4 linked regions of the Oryzias latipes genome follow. The protein of the gene in region 1 purifies or fractionates together with the protein of each later gene. This does not show direct contact. Links are inferred from orthologs where the notes say so. Each region holds a gene or a part of one and is shown in the gene's direction. Other genes may lie near its edges.

Region 1 (4,116 bases):
GATATTTTCCAATGATTGAATGATTGTAACTCAGTTGCATGTGGCCAAACCTGCATTCAAGTCTTTGACCCTTGCATCTAATTTTCACCATAACCCTTCCTCCTGCCTCCTCCTCCTAACTTTGATACCTTTTTTTTTCTTCAAAAATGTAAAAACAACATAAATAAAAGTAGCTATTTAATCTATAAAGCTGAGACAGATGATAGGTTTTAACTGCTGTTCTGTAGGTACTGGGTGTATATAATGTCTGATTTGAGCAATTAATTCAAAGGAATTTTGAGGTTTAAAGCCAAATGTAGTTTAATGAATGTAATATTTTGTTAATAAAATCAGGAAATGTAACCAATAAAATTGTGAAGTAACTTTTCATAATCAGTAAAACCATACAGGATCTGTTTTTCCATGTCAGGAAGAAATCGAGAAAAAATTGAGTCATTATATCATACTGACAATTACTTCCAAACTAATTTTTTGTGATCATAGGTCGAAATTAAATATATGAATGTTTCTTCACATTGTTTACAAAATCTACCCCCCCCCCATATTAATCCTTTTGTCTTTGCAATTATCTTTCGAAAATGCAGTCGTATCAAGGAAGTTTGTTGTTTTCCCTGGGTAGTGACTTGTAGGTAAGTTGTTGCTGCCATAGACAGTATGGTTCCTGCCCAACTCAGTTTAACGAGGAGCTGTAGTAGTTATAGGTGCTACTTTTTCTAATCATATACATACAATAAAATGGTGAATAAAACTTCGGAAACTTCCAAATACTGTCATTAATTGTGTTATACCATGGGGAAATGCGTACGTTTCACAACAGTACACGTTAAAATGCCATCAAAATACAAAAAATCATATTGAGTTTTCCAAATAGTTTTTCTTTAAAAATTTGTAATATTCTAACAAAACCTTTCCACACAATAATGCTGACATACAACAATGGATTAGCTATTTTAAAGAACACCGAAAACTGAATGGTCTGATGCGCGGCTTAGATCGTTGTCAAAGGTTGCCTGCAAAACTATACACCGGTTTTTTTAACCCACTGACTGACAACAATGAGAGCAAAACAGCTGTCCTCTGATTTTGCCTGATTAAAAATAAACCCACTAACTTTAAATAAAAAAATGGAGGGGAAGAATATTACACTTTATTAGATTATCGTGAATGCCACTTCAATAGCGTAAATATACCCGTTTTTCAACTATTAGTCTAGTAGCACAATTCAGTTCTTTCTGCTTACGTGTGCACATAGCTGTAGGCGTCCCCTGAGATGCCTATGAGATATACTTCCATATTGGCACCAACTGAGTATTCTTCCCTGTAGTTGAATCGAGTTTTTTCTTTTTTTAAAGCAAGTGATCTACAGCTAAAACTTTGTAAAAGCTGTAAAAATATTTCGCACTTTACATGTTGGTCTTCCTCTGACAGGATTAACGATAAGTTGGTAAGTATGATTCATATTTTTCTTTCTGTTATCTCACTCAGCACAATAAACTTTTAACTTTTCAGATAATATTTCAAAAGTCTTTTCATTTTTTTTATTTTTTACAAACTGTTTAGTTTAAGTTATTTGAATCATGTGACCGACATTGTGTAGTTATCGTGTGCCATCTGGTCTAAGAGAACCAACTCAAACAACAACGTTTCCTTCTGCAGCTGAGATGATCGACAGTCTGTTCCTGATTAACCACTCAGGAGACATTTTCCTGGAGAAACACTGGAAGAGTGTTATCAGCCGGAGTGTTTGTGATTACTTTTTCGAAGCTAAGGAAAAAGCAGTAGACCCAGAAAATGTGGCCCCTGTCCTGCAGACCCCACACCACTATCTCATCAGTATATACAGGGACAAGATCTTCTTCCTGTCTGCCATCCAGACTGAAGTGCCTCCACTTTTTGTCATCGAGTTCCTGCACAGAGTTGGAGATACATTCTTGGTAGTATTGATTTCTTACCTGAATGTCTTCTTTGTGATAAGTGTGTGCCAGATCTTAAGTGCTTCTAGTCAAGCTCTAGGAATAAGTTTCCTTCTTGCTGCACTTTCATGTAAGTATATAATATATATTAAAGATATAACTAAAAAGTCCTTTATAAGACATTCTTTGAGGCATTAGTTTGGCCAAATATAAGAATTTCAGCAGCAACCTTAACCTTGACTGCAGTTAGTATTTTGTGCTGACTTAAACCAGGGATCGTCTTTGGAATTATCATTTAAACCAATAAAAAAGTATTTTTATTTCAGACTCGAAGTGTAAATGTCAACACCATTAAAAAGAAACACAAGACATACAAAATAATTAAAATACAAGTGAATACACCAATTATAAACCTAATAAAGTGGCCAAACCAGTACCTCCAAATTGGGGACTGGTAATGCAAAGTGCTGTGCCTGATGTTGGTTAGGGTTAAAATGATTTTATTCTTGGAAGCGTTAAAGACGTTGTATAAAACCATAAATAAGATTACTTAAAAGAGCTTGGAGAGTGTTGACTCATATATCATACGTCTTTTTAATAAAATCCCATTATATACCCCATGCAGGCTAAATGGCTATGGAAGGATTTGTTAATACACGATAAAGATATTTTACTTTGTGACTTATGTTTTATTTTGTCTAAACTAAACTGTGTTTATGACGGAAATTGTCATGGGGCACTGTAAGAAATGTTGCTGAATGGGTTTCATGTTAAAAAAAGGAAGAATTGTCAGATTTCAGTTAATAGTAAATGTACCATGTGTACATGCAGGTATGGTGACAAAGCAGAAAAGGAAAAACACAAAAAATATCTTTGAAAATATTAAATTGATAGTTTTGTGTGCTTTAATGCAAATTAAAGGGATTTTATTAAATCTGCGATCCAAAGTAATATCAAAAGGCTCTTCAAGTGCTTAGAAGTACAGCACTCTCAATTGTGCTACACTCTTTCTAATAGAACACAGAACTTACGTTATTGCCCATATTGGTCTGCTGACGCTGCTCAAAGGGACAGCCACTGTTGTCCTTTCAGTAACATTTTTTTTTTTTTTTTGCAGGATTACTTTGGAGAATGTTCAGAAACTGTAATCAAGGATAATGTAGTGATTGTTTACGAGCTATTGGAGGAGATGCTCGACAACGGATTTCCGCTCGCCACCGAGTCCAATGTCCTCAAGGAGATGATAAAGCCTCCCAACATTCTGCGGTCAGTCGTCAATACACTAACAGGTAAACAAACGTCACAAGGAACATTGTGAACTTCTGGCTCTTTAAGTCACACTGAAGGGCAGCGTTAACATTACATTTCATTTGTTTTTTCCAGGAGGTAGCAATGTTGGAAACACTTTGCCAACAGGTCAGCTGTCTAATGTTCCATGGAGAAGGGCTGGTGTCAAGTACACAAACAATGAGGCATATTTTGATGTGATCGAAGAAATTGATGCAATTCTCGATAAATCAGGTACTTGAAAAGAAGAGAAGAATAAAGCAGTTGGTGGGAAATGCAGTTAAATGCACAGTAATACCGGTGACTTTGTTTACTGAACAGGGACAACAGTATTTGCAGAGATCCAGGGGGTCATTGAAGCTTGTGTGAGGCTTACCGGGATGCCGGATCTCACTTTGTCCTTCATGGTGGGCTCATTTCCCCCCATATCTGTATTTAGATCATCTGTGCACTTTTGTTCAAGTCTAAATTTTGCTCATTATTGATGTATTATTGACAGAATCCTCGTCTCCTGGATGATGTGAGCTTTCATCCCTGCGTGAGGTTCAAACGCTGGGAGTCGGAACGGGTTTTGTCTTTCATCCCTCCAGATGGAAACTTCACTCTCATGTCATATCAAGTCAGCTCTCAGAAGTAAGTGATTCATGGGGAGAGCAATGGGGTGACTAGGGCTGGCTATGGATTATGAGGAGGACTGCATATATGAAGATGTCATCCTATCCTCAGGTTATAAAAATTCAGAGCTGGATAAAAGTTTTCAACCACAAAGAAAATTACTTTCAATATACAGTTTAGCCTCTTAAAGCATAGTTTAAATTGGAGGTTGTTGCAATTAAATTTTGGCATAACTCTGTTCCTTTGTCATTTCTATGATTTTTCATAAACTTTATTTATAGTCAATTAAGGGTTTCATGTT
Region 2 (3,568 bases), on another chromosome or scaffold:
GTATGACCAGAACTATGACATCCGTGACCGCGCACGCTTCATTCGTCAGCTCATTGTTCCCACCGAGAAGAGTGGTGCTCTCAGCAAGTACGCAAAGAAACTGTTCCTCGCCCTCAAACCTGCTCCGGTCCTCGAGTCTCCATTTAAAGGTAAAGACGCTCAGAGACTCTAATTTATGCTTCCTTCCGTGTATTTAAGTCACAGATTCCGGTTTCTGTCAGTCATTCTTGTGGGGTTTTTTTTTCCAGATCGAGACCACTTCCAGCTGGGTTCACTGTCCCACCTGCTTAATGCCAAAGCCGGGGGCTACCAGGAGTTGCCTGACTGGCCCGAAGCCGCCCCTGACCCCTCCGTGCGCAACGTGGAGGTGAAGGAGTCTGTGCGTGCAGTGGGAACAGTAACATACAGAGACACAGGGGCCCTCTGGGGTCTACAGGGGCCCCAAAAGATGGAGGGGAGCGAGGGTTGCTCCTTTCGCAGAGCAGTGCTTCAGAGGGGGTTGAAGAGGGTCGCCAGAGTTACCTCAAACTCCAATATAACACTGATTTTCTCCCACTCATCATTCATTCATCTTCTGCTCGTTAGCATGGCGACCTCATCGGGATCGTCTCGCCACACGGATGCTGCCTAACACCCATAGAGGAGGAATGAAGTGTTTTCCCAAACCTAACTAAAGCTCAAAAGAAAAAGAAAAAAATCAAAATCTGTCTTTGGAGATTTTATGTGGAGTTCAGCGCTTCCCATGATCCTCTCTGCTACACTGGCTTCGGTTGGGCAGCAGCCTCCTCGCCCCGCCCACATCCCTCCTCACCGCTGTGTGAGCCACCAGCACATGCTCTGCAGAAGGGAGCTGGCTTATTTCAAGTCTGCAGGGACACCACTGCAAAAGTTCACACCAAATCTGTTTCATTTGGATTCTTTTTCCCAAAATGTGCTCAATTCAAGTTTATAAGGGAGTAAAATGATCTGCAAAGCTCTCCTCTTCTCCAGCCCCTTCGCTTCATGTGCTTCTGGTGCAACAGTTTGATCTCAGAGAAACCAGGACATCAAGGCTTAGGTGTCACGTAGCGATGACCCTAAGGCTTGATTTTGTTGCATGATGTTGTTCATAACTCCTCATTTAATCAGCTGTGATGCAGATTTCAAGATGAGGCCACAGGTGCAGTCCATGGAGACACTGTTTCTGTTCTGCTTGTAGAGATTTGTCACTTTGATAGGAACAAAAAAAAGTTTATCTGTACTTTTGAATAGTTTAACATGATCTTATGCAGACATGCAGCTGTGAGGTAGTTTTTGTTTTACTTAAAACATACATTTCTTTTAACTCTGGTTAAACAATCATGGTAATTTTATACTGGTTTCTAAAATACAAAAAAAGTTATAAAAGAAAGTTTTAATGACTCGATTTTGGCTCATTTTAAGTTTCATTTTTAAAGAAACTCAACAAAACAAAACCCTTAAATTCAAAAGAGCCAATGGTTCATTTAAAGAACATAGAAAACATGTTTTTTTTAAAACAAGGGGAAAACAAAAACTTTTTGTCTAATTTGTACGTTTCTGAAGTGCAATTAATAATTATGAATTAATCAGCTAGTAAAAAATCTGGCAATTATTTAAATGTAGGCTTTATTACCTGGAACTAATGAAATAAATTAGTTTTTGTTTTGTTTATTAGTAACAAAATTCACCCTTTTTTTTCCTGGTAACAAAGATTTTTCACAATAATTCAAATAAATTGTCAAACTAAAGTTGACAAAAATGGGTGTGGTGATGCTTCATACGTGAAGCCTCAAAGCAGCAAACCACTCTGAAGCAGCGCTTAAAATGACCACCAGCCAGGAGAGCCATTCATCAGCAGCACTCACCCGCTGTCTCCCCCTCTGCACACCGCACGCAGCCGGAGGAGGTCGTGACCTCCAGCGAGGGGCGGATCAGCCTGCTTGGAGACTGGCGAGAGGTGCTCCTCCCTGTGGTGTGGAGTGCAGTGGAGTCTCCAGGACTCTTTTTCTTCTCTCATTTTAATTCCTGCCTTTCACCGCTATGATTGGATACGATGGTCTAATCTAATCTAATCCTTACCCTCAAATCTATTCCTTGTTAAATAAAAATAGGTTTAAAAATGGACAAATATTACGATTAAAACCTGATCTGGGAACTCAAAGCTACAGGGTGTTTCCCTTTTCCCCCTTCCTGCACTCTTGTGAAATTTGTGACACAACTGTCACAAATCCAGTGTGGTTCTGTGTTTTTCCTCTTCCTCATCTTCATCATTTAAGCATGATTTGATTGGAGGAAAAACACTCATACTAATTGCATCTATGTCTGTTTTCTTGCCGTGTTATCAAGCAGGAATAAGAAAGGTTCTTTGGTTGCAGTGTATCTGCAGTTTTGAACTCAGGTTGTGTCCAAATTCCTTCACTACTTAGCGTGCTATAAAGGGCGGTCGCCATTTTTTTCAGCGTGCAAAAATAAATCCAGTGCCCAAGAAATTACCCAGAAGTCTCTGCGACAAACCAGTGTGCATCATTGCTCACTAGACTGATGAATATAGACCACGATCCATTGCGTTTTAACAATTTTTCATGTAAAAGAAATGCATTTTAAACCTTTTTTTATTATAAATCATCCAGTTTTCATCATCAGAAGACGGTGTATTCATGAATAGTCTTCTTAAAATGATCATATTAATTAGGTTTATACTTCAGGAAATCTGTGATGTCATATTTGCCATTAAATAAATGTAGTGATCATGGTGTCGGAATTGCTTTTAAAATTTAGGGCACTTGATAGCCCCGCACTTTATAGTTTTTAAGTAGTTAGGCAGTGGAGAGGGAATTGGGACACAGTCTGTTATATTGGAGTTCTAATTATGGCCGTTTTGGAGCTAATTTTTTAATCTGGAGGGTTTTTTTCTTTTGTCTCTGTAATCCAGACTGTTCTCACACGTTGTGATGTGTTGCCCTTTAACCTTTCCTCTGTCTGATTTTTACTGCTCTCCTGACTTTTCTCTAAAGAAAAAAACTGTTCTTCTTTTTCTCACCCCCCCTCATCTCCATTCCAACCTTTTTTTCTTTTCTACGTCCGCCAGGTTTTTGCGCTGCTTGAAAGAGTCACAACACTAACGAGTGTGAGTCAGTTAGCGGCAAAGAGCCAAACATCCTTGAGCCCCAACCCACACAGCCGCTGAGAACCCAAATGCTTCATGACACCCCCCTTTTGCCTGACCTACTAGTTGCTGTTCTGTGCTTAGCTGAGCCAAAGCCCCCCCCCCCCCAAGAGTCAGCACCCTCTTTCCCCCGCCATTAAAGAAGTGATTGTTTCAGCAGGGCCTCCTCTCAAACTACCTCGGCGTGGGTCTAAACTGGGTTTGGGACACTTCCACGCTCACCTTGTAGGAGAAATCACTTCTCTTAATGGAAAAACTCCCTGTTTGTTTTTTTAAAAGCTGCAACTGGACATGAAGGCAACACCTGGTGCTCAAAAAAAAAAAAAGGCTGCCATGCAACTGTTCCTGTATGAGCTGTCAGATCTGCAGCAGCAGCAGCGTCTGGCTTCATTTGGCTGCATC
Region 3 (3,132 bases), on another chromosome or scaffold:
ACAGAAACTCATTCAAATGTGGTCGGATGAATGCAGACTCATTAGAACTTTTTGAGTCAATGTCAAAAACACTCGTCAGCGTACCTTCATACCCGACATCTCCCCATCACTGCAGTTGCTAGCGTCCTCCAGGTTAAAGCACACACAGACCAAGCGCAAAGGTTTGGAACAAAGAATGTTTCTATTCTGAGTACAACCCTCGTTTGACGTTTAAACAAATGCCATATGCATGTCTTTGTGTGCTGCTGCCACAGGGAGGCAGCCTCAGAGATGAGTTGAACGTTTTCACTTTGCGGTCATGACTTTTCCGTTTTTCCTAATTGTGTCTTAATTGGACATAAAAAAGCAAAACAAAAAAAAGAGGACATTTACACTTCTGCTATTTATTTCTCTTTTAGTAAAGAGTATATATATATATTTTTTTATCATTTCTTCTATATGTTGATTAGAAAAGCTTGTTTTTAAAGTTCTGGAGCATTTATGAGCTGCAGCTTCTGCATTTGGGGCAAGAGGTTGAGGAGGATCTTTGAGGGGAAATGTTTATCTGTTGATCAATACAGTTTCTTCCCCACAATATTGGAGCCTTTGGCACATAAACTGTGTTTGTCTGCAGAAAAACGACACGTTTTGTGGTTTAAAAGCATACATGTACTTTTTATGTCTTCACACTTTATTGCTGTAGAATCTCTTCACATTCCTAAAATGTGCACAAATCTGCTCTATAAAATGAAAAAATAAAAACAGAGGTAATGGGCAAGTATTCACAAAGACGATTGGTTAAGTTTGTCTTATTTTGTGTCATTTTTGTCATTATGAGGAAACAATTCAAAAGTCTTGACCTTTTGACCATCAGAAGACAAACGGAGCAGCAGCTGTTGGTTTTTCAAAAGCCTTTGACAAAGAGAGCCTGGACACATGTGCGTTCTTTAATGTTTTAATTGGCGTTTTAACCACCATGTTTCTCAATTTTTCCGAGTTTTTCCAGCTTAGAATGCTGATCAGGCACATCTGTGGTCATCTAGATTGAATTTCCTCAGCGGGAGCTTGATGTCATGCGGGGATGTGGGGTTCATCTGAGGAATGTTCCCGATATGAAGCTTCGAGATGTTTGTTTGTTTTTTTATTTTTATTTCTTCTTTTGTTGTAACTTTGGAGGCTTAAACGCACACAAACAAACGACCGTGAGTCCGTCCTGAAAGCGCAAACAGTTTGACGCCGGTGCCGAATCCGAGCTGGTCTCTGCCGAACTCCGGACTGCGCTACCCGCTGTGCTCTGCTCGCTCCGCAGGTCCATTACATCCTGCAGGAGGTGGTGATGGGGGGCATGGTGCTGGAGACCAACATGAACGAGATCGTGGCGCAGGTCGAGGTGCAGAACCGCATGGAGAAGTCAGAGGTCAGAGCGGCGCTGCCCGCATCAAAGGGCAACACTTCACAGGCTTCTTTAGCTCATCAGCTGCAGCTGGTGTGACGGCGAAAAGCGGAGGTCCCGCGAGGTTTCGGTGACTCTGAGGGTTAAGGAAAAGCAAAAACAGACCAGTCAGAGCCTCTTAAAGTGACTGCTGTCATGAAAAGAAACGTCAGGAAGTTGCAGAAAAACTTCCCTCACATTGTCTGATTGACATCTAAAACTCTGCTTTTAGAACATCTGGAAAAAACGGTCTCAAATCCAAAATGTCTGTTCGTGATTAATGACAGAAATATCTCCTCGTACTCCGGATGATTGACACTTCCTGGTGTCTTCTTTCTTGTTTTAAACGAGCTGTTTTTACAGCCTAAACATATTGGTCGGTCTAAACTCCTCAGCATCTTCTGGGGAGGTTGCCAACCCGTCCCCAGCGTCAGCATTTCAACTTTCCATGCTTGTGAAGCCGCTATGTATTTTAAAGGTGTTCTCTCCCCCCCCCCCCCCCCCCCCCCCCGCACAGGGAGGTCTGTCTGCGGCCCCCGCTCGTGCCGTTTCCGCCGTGAAGAACATGAACCTTCCAGAGATTCCCCGCAACATCAACATCGGGGACATCAACATCAAAGTGCCGAGCCTCTCCCCGTTCTGAGGAGCGTCCCCCCCCCCCCCCCCATCTTGGTGGTTATGGTCCCTGCTTCCCTTCGCCGTGTTGCAGGTCCCCCTCCAGTCCCAGATGCTCATTCCTGTGGCTGCATGCGGAGAGGCAGTCCCATTGAAACAGGCTTTGAAATCATTTGCACTCCTCCATCGGCCTCACGTTCATCAGCAGCCTGACTGAAAGGCTTCAGGACTTTAACTTTTTCCTGAGACTTTAATTGCTCAAACACATTTGTTTTGTTTTCTTTTTATTGTGATTTATTCTTTTTATCCCCCCCCCCCGTCTGGAATATATTTCATTTCGGGAGTCGGTTTGAAAGCTGAATGTTTCCCCTAAGTGAAGCTCGTGCCGACAGCTGAAACGCTGACTTCCAGCAGACCAACATCTGGTTGTTCATCTGTAAAGTTGTGTAATTAGTTGTGTTTTGTGGTCCCAATGTCGTGTTTTACCATGAAATGTCGTCAAAGTGGAGTCTTATATCTCAGTCTGCAAGGCATTTCTTGACAAGGTAAATGAAGTAATAAATTCAACCCATCCATCTTGTCGGTGCTGTCTTGGTATCTGCAGGTGAGCAGGTCTTCCGGTGAAACCAGCAGAACATTCTGTACCTCAGGCGGTCGGAGGTTTTGCTCAACCCCAATGAAGTTTTTTAGTCTTGTTGATCCAGCCGCATTCTTTTGGTCCCTCTTGCCGCTAATTTAGGGATCTATTTTTTTTTTTTTCTCAACTGAGGAAGTTGTTCCCTCCCCTGAGTTCCCAGGAAAACCTGCGAGCGCTCCTCACCTCCCACTCCCACTCCCAGCCTCACAGATGCGAAGGGCTCACATCAGGCAGGGATCTCTGCAGCTCCGCTCCCATGTTTCAGGCTTTCTGAGACCGGTACGTACACTTCTGCTGGAAATTCATGCAACACACTTGGATTCACTTAAGCTGTGCCTGCTTTCACTGCCAGGGGCGCCTTTTTTTAAAAAAAGAAAAAAATTTTTTTTTATAGCTGCCGCCATGTGGTAAACATGTTTTTTGTGCAGTAAATGATTTCCTGATGTTCAGCACAAGTTTACAAATGACA
Region 4 (3,568 bases), on another chromosome or scaffold:
GGGGGGGGGCATCATGCTTTAGGGCTGTTTTCAAGTAAAGGGACCGGGATGATTGATCCGTGTAAAGGAAAGAGTGAATGGGGTCATGTATAGTCAGATTTTGAGTGAAAACCTCCTTCAATCAGCAAGGCAATTGAAGATGAAACGTGGCTGGGTCTTCCAGCATGACAACGATCCCAAACTCACTGCCCGGGTAACAAAGGAATGACTTCATAAGAAGCATTTCAAGGTCCTGGAGTGGCCTAGCCAGTGTTCAGATCTCAACCCCATAGAAAATCTTTGGAGGGAGTTGAAAGTCTGTGTTGCCCAGCAACAGCCCCAAGACATCACTGCTCTAGAGGAGATCTGCATGGAGGAACGGGCCAAAATCCCAGCAACAGGTTTGTGAAAACCTTGGGAAGACTGCTGTCATTACCAAAGTATTGAGTTGAACTTTTGTTATTGACCAAATACTTATTTTCCACCATAATTTGCAAATAAATTCTTTAAAAATTAGACAATAAGATTTTTGAGATTTTTTTTCCTCATTTTTTCTGCCATAGTTGAAGTTTACCCATGATGAAAATTACAAGCCTCCCTCATCTTTTCAAGTGGGACAGCTTGGACATTTGGTGGCTGACTAAATACTTTTTATCCCCACTGTATACGAGAACTGGACCGAGCAGGTCTGGTATCACCCATGAAAATCCAGGTCCAACAAATTGAAGTCAATTAAGTTGCCATTTCTTGTGAGCCGGGCCGTTCGACGTTTCCATGGCAACCGCTCTTGCCAACCAAGAATGAACTTGGAAGTCCACACACCCCTACCACCTGAAAGTGGGCTTGGGAGAATCTGTCAGATGTTTAAAGTGAGACTACATACTGTTACTGAGGCATCTGATTGGTCAGTTTATAATTGCAATAACTTGCATGAAAAAAATAACATAGTGAAAAATATTAGGATTATCAAGAACACATTAAAGAAGCTTTTTGGTGTTTTGGCTTAATGGAGCCAGCAGGTACTTCCTGTTTGGAGGGGGAGGGGTCACTCAGTGTAGTTCTTATATATGATCTGAATGGGACCTTCATGAAGAGGGGGGCAGGGGTTCATTGTGTTGAAGCATGAGATTTATGATTTATGACTGTTTAGAAATTGTCGGGTTTAAAAAAAAAAACGAAAATCTGTTAAAGAATGACAAGTTTATTATTGTGAGATCAATTATTTAATATGATATGTATTATGTTTGTACGTCTTTTTTGCAAATCACTTTTGTTTTGCTTAATAAAAAGTTTTAACAAAAGTATTTTGGTTTAAAAAGTTTCCTGAATTTCATGAATTGATTTTGCAGGTTGTAAATACAATCTGTTCCAATTTTAAAAAAATTCAGCCTTAAGAAATGTAAGACGAGAAAGAAACCTGCTGGTCTCTTTAGTCTGCAGATGTGCGCTTTTCTGTGTGTTCATTTAAAAACAAAACCTGCATCTATTTGATAGATTATTTGATTTTATTCATCAATGACTGCTCTTCAAAGATAAAAGTCCCTGAAAGGTCTTTTTTGTGTTTTGTATTTTGAAATTAATTTTACAAAGAGGAAGGAAAACATTTAGACTAAATGCAGATAAAAAAGACCAAGTTGGGGCCTCTGGACTATTTCAGCTTGATTCAGAATGGATTTGTCTGACGATGTTTAAGTTTGAACAGCAGCTGATAAACCAATGATTGGTGCATAAACTGAAGCCCATAAAAGAAAACATTCTTCTTGATCAAGCAGTGCTCATTGTTTCTCTCTTTGCTCTGAAGATCAGCATTAAAAAACCTTTGTGCGTTCATCACCCTTATGATGCTGCTTGAATCGGTCTATAGCGGAACATGAAATCCAGTTGTCGTCACTTTCCAGAACGGATGGAAATGTCTGTTTCCCTTCATTTCTCCAAATGTTGCTGCTGAAAGCTCTCTGTCTGCAGCCTTTGAAGGTTCTCTCTTCTTTATCACTTCCAGGACCTTCAGCTACATCATGAGAGAGCTGCCCAAGGTGCCCACCCACGTCCCGGTGTGTGTTCTGGGGAACCACAGGGACATGGGCGAGCACCGGGTCATCCTGCCCGACGACATCAGAGACCTGATCGCTGGTCTGAACAGGTAACTGAACGTTACTATCAGTTCTGATGGTCTGCTTTTTGACCCACAATCTGACCCAATCCGAACCGTCTTCTGCTTTAGCTGCTTATTACAAAAAGACATTTGCTGCCAACTTGTCTACAAAAAAAAAAGGATTTTTTAAAATATTTTCTGTCGCTTCAAATAAAAGTTGTGGGTTTTTTATTTTAAATCAATACAAACATCCACATTGGAGACAATAAAATGAGAACTACTGGATCTTGGTTATTTGTTAAGATTGTTTTTGGAAAACCTTCCAAAAAAGAACAAATGCTTTTCAATGAATCAACAGATGTGGTCTGAAGACAGCAGAAATGGAGGTTTTTAAAGCAGTTTTTACTCATTAAAAAATAATCGATTCCTCCGTCAACATCCAAAGCAACAGTTTTTTGCCACTAAAAAGTTTATTTTTGTGGATCAAGGATTCACGAATACTGAAAGGTTCCACCACCGTTTCACATTCCACTTCCTGTCCACACAGCCCCCTCAGTAGCTGATCGTTGCTTTTATGTGCATGTCCACACTGATTAAACGCCGTGGGACTGGAATGGTGTTTCCTGCATTAACAGGCAATGAGGCGCTACACCGGTACACTTCCAGCTAAGTCTGCAGACACAGACAAACATGTTACTGTTTGCACTGGACGATCCGAACATCAGCAACCTGGAGTCAGAATTCCTCTAAAGACGAGGCTGTAACAGCAAGGCTGATGGGAGGACGGACTTTAGGACATGAATGTCGGCTCATTTTTAGTCCACACTCATGCAAACTGAAGGGAAAGCAGGAAACCCCGTCAGGAATGGTTTTGTAGCAGTGGGAGTCCTACATTCATCAATCACAGAGCTGCTTACAGCCAAAGAGTCGACACACTTTGATCCCCTTTGTTCAGATGCTAAATGAAGATGCTGAACAATTTTAAGGTGAACTTTGACCTCTCATTGTGAGGACAGTTAAGCTTTTCTTTACCATTAACTAACCAGCGGCTCTTTCTTTTTTTTCTTCTTTTTTTTGCAGGCCGATGGGATCCTCTTACATCCACTACGCAGAGTCGTCCATGAGGAACGGGTTCGGCTTGAAGTACCTCCACAGATTCTTCAACATTCCTTTCCTTCAGCTGCAGGTCACTTTTTTGTCCTTCACCGTATCGCTTCAGTCCTGCAAATGTCCCATGTGGCCTCGGTGTATGTGTGCAGAGAGAGACGCTCCTGAGGCAACTGGAGACCAACCAGCTGGACATGGACGCCACGCTGGAGGAGCTGTCAGTGCAGCAGGAGACAGAAGACCAGAACTACGACATGTAAGTGTCTGAGAGCTCAAAAAGTTGAAACAGATGCTCTGTTGACATCTATGGGTTTAATCATTGTTAACGTTTTTTGGGCTGAAACAACTTTCTGTTAGCTTTGAATGGTAGAAAAAGTTTTCATTGAGTTC

Evidence for each region.
Region 2: the proteins of AP-3 complex subunit mu-1 (region 1) and ap3b2 purify together in Homo sapiens (co-immunoprecipitation; 3 studies listed by BioGRID and IntAct, counting the BioPlex papers as one, with this or other methods). This does not show direct contact. The link is inferred for Oryzias latipes from reciprocal best matches to the Homo sapiens genes AP3M1 and AP3B2.
Region 3: the proteins of AP-3 complex subunit mu-1 (region 1) and ap3s2 purify together in Homo sapiens (co-immunoprecipitation; 3 studies listed by BioGRID and IntAct, counting the BioPlex papers as one, with this or other methods). This does not show direct contact. The link is inferred for Oryzias latipes from reciprocal best matches to the Homo sapiens genes AP3M1 and AP3S2.
Region 4: the proteins of AP-3 complex subunit mu-1 (region 1) and rabl6 purify together in Homo sapiens (co-immunoprecipitation; 3 studies listed by BioGRID and IntAct, counting the BioPlex papers as one, with this or other methods). This does not show direct contact. The link is inferred for Oryzias latipes from reciprocal best matches to the Homo sapiens genes AP3M1 and RABL6.

Annotation. Positions count from the first base shown.
Region 1 is NC_019873.2:23,928,959-23,933,074, reverse strand, and holds the start of AP-3 complex subunit mu-1, read left to right. Parts: upstream 1-1,253; 5' UTR 1,254-1,444; intron 1,445-1,656; 5' UTR 1,657-1,661; coding exon 1,662-1,934; intron 1,935-3,030; coding exon 3,031-3,202; intron 3,203-3,296; coding exon 3,297-3,434; intron 3,435-3,521; coding exon 3,522-3,607; intron 3,608-3,699; coding exon 3,700-3,833; intron 3,834-4,116. UniProt on the Homo sapiens protein: Part of the AP-3 complex, an adaptor-related complex which is not clathrin-associated. The complex is associated with the Golgi region as well as more peripheral structures.
Region 2 is NC_019864.2:10,522,276-10,525,843, reverse strand, and holds part of ap3b2 (AP-3 complex subunit beta-2), read left to right. Parts: coding exon 1-149; intron 150-248; coding exon 249-379; intron 380-3,088; coding exon 3,089-3,127; intron 3,128-3,568.
Region 3 is NC_019861.2:32,344,431-32,347,562, reverse strand, and holds the end of ap3s2 (AP-3 complex subunit sigma-2), read left to right. Parts: intron 1-1,288; coding exon 1,289-1,396; intron 1,397-1,928; coding exon 1,929-2,054; 3' UTR 2,055-2,601; downstream 2,602-3,132. UniProt on the Homo sapiens protein: Part of the AP-3 complex, an adaptor-related complex which is not clathrin-associated. The complex is associated with the Golgi region as well as more peripheral structures.
Region 4 is NC_019867.2:28,386,883-28,390,450, forward strand, and holds part of rabl6 (rab-like protein 6), read left to right. Parts: intron 1-1,978; coding exon 1,979-2,119; intron 2,120-3,151; coding exon 3,152-3,257; intron 3,258-3,330; coding exon 3,331-3,434; intron 3,435-3,568. UniProt on the Homo sapiens protein: May enhance cellular proliferation. May reduce growth inhibitory activity of CDKN2A.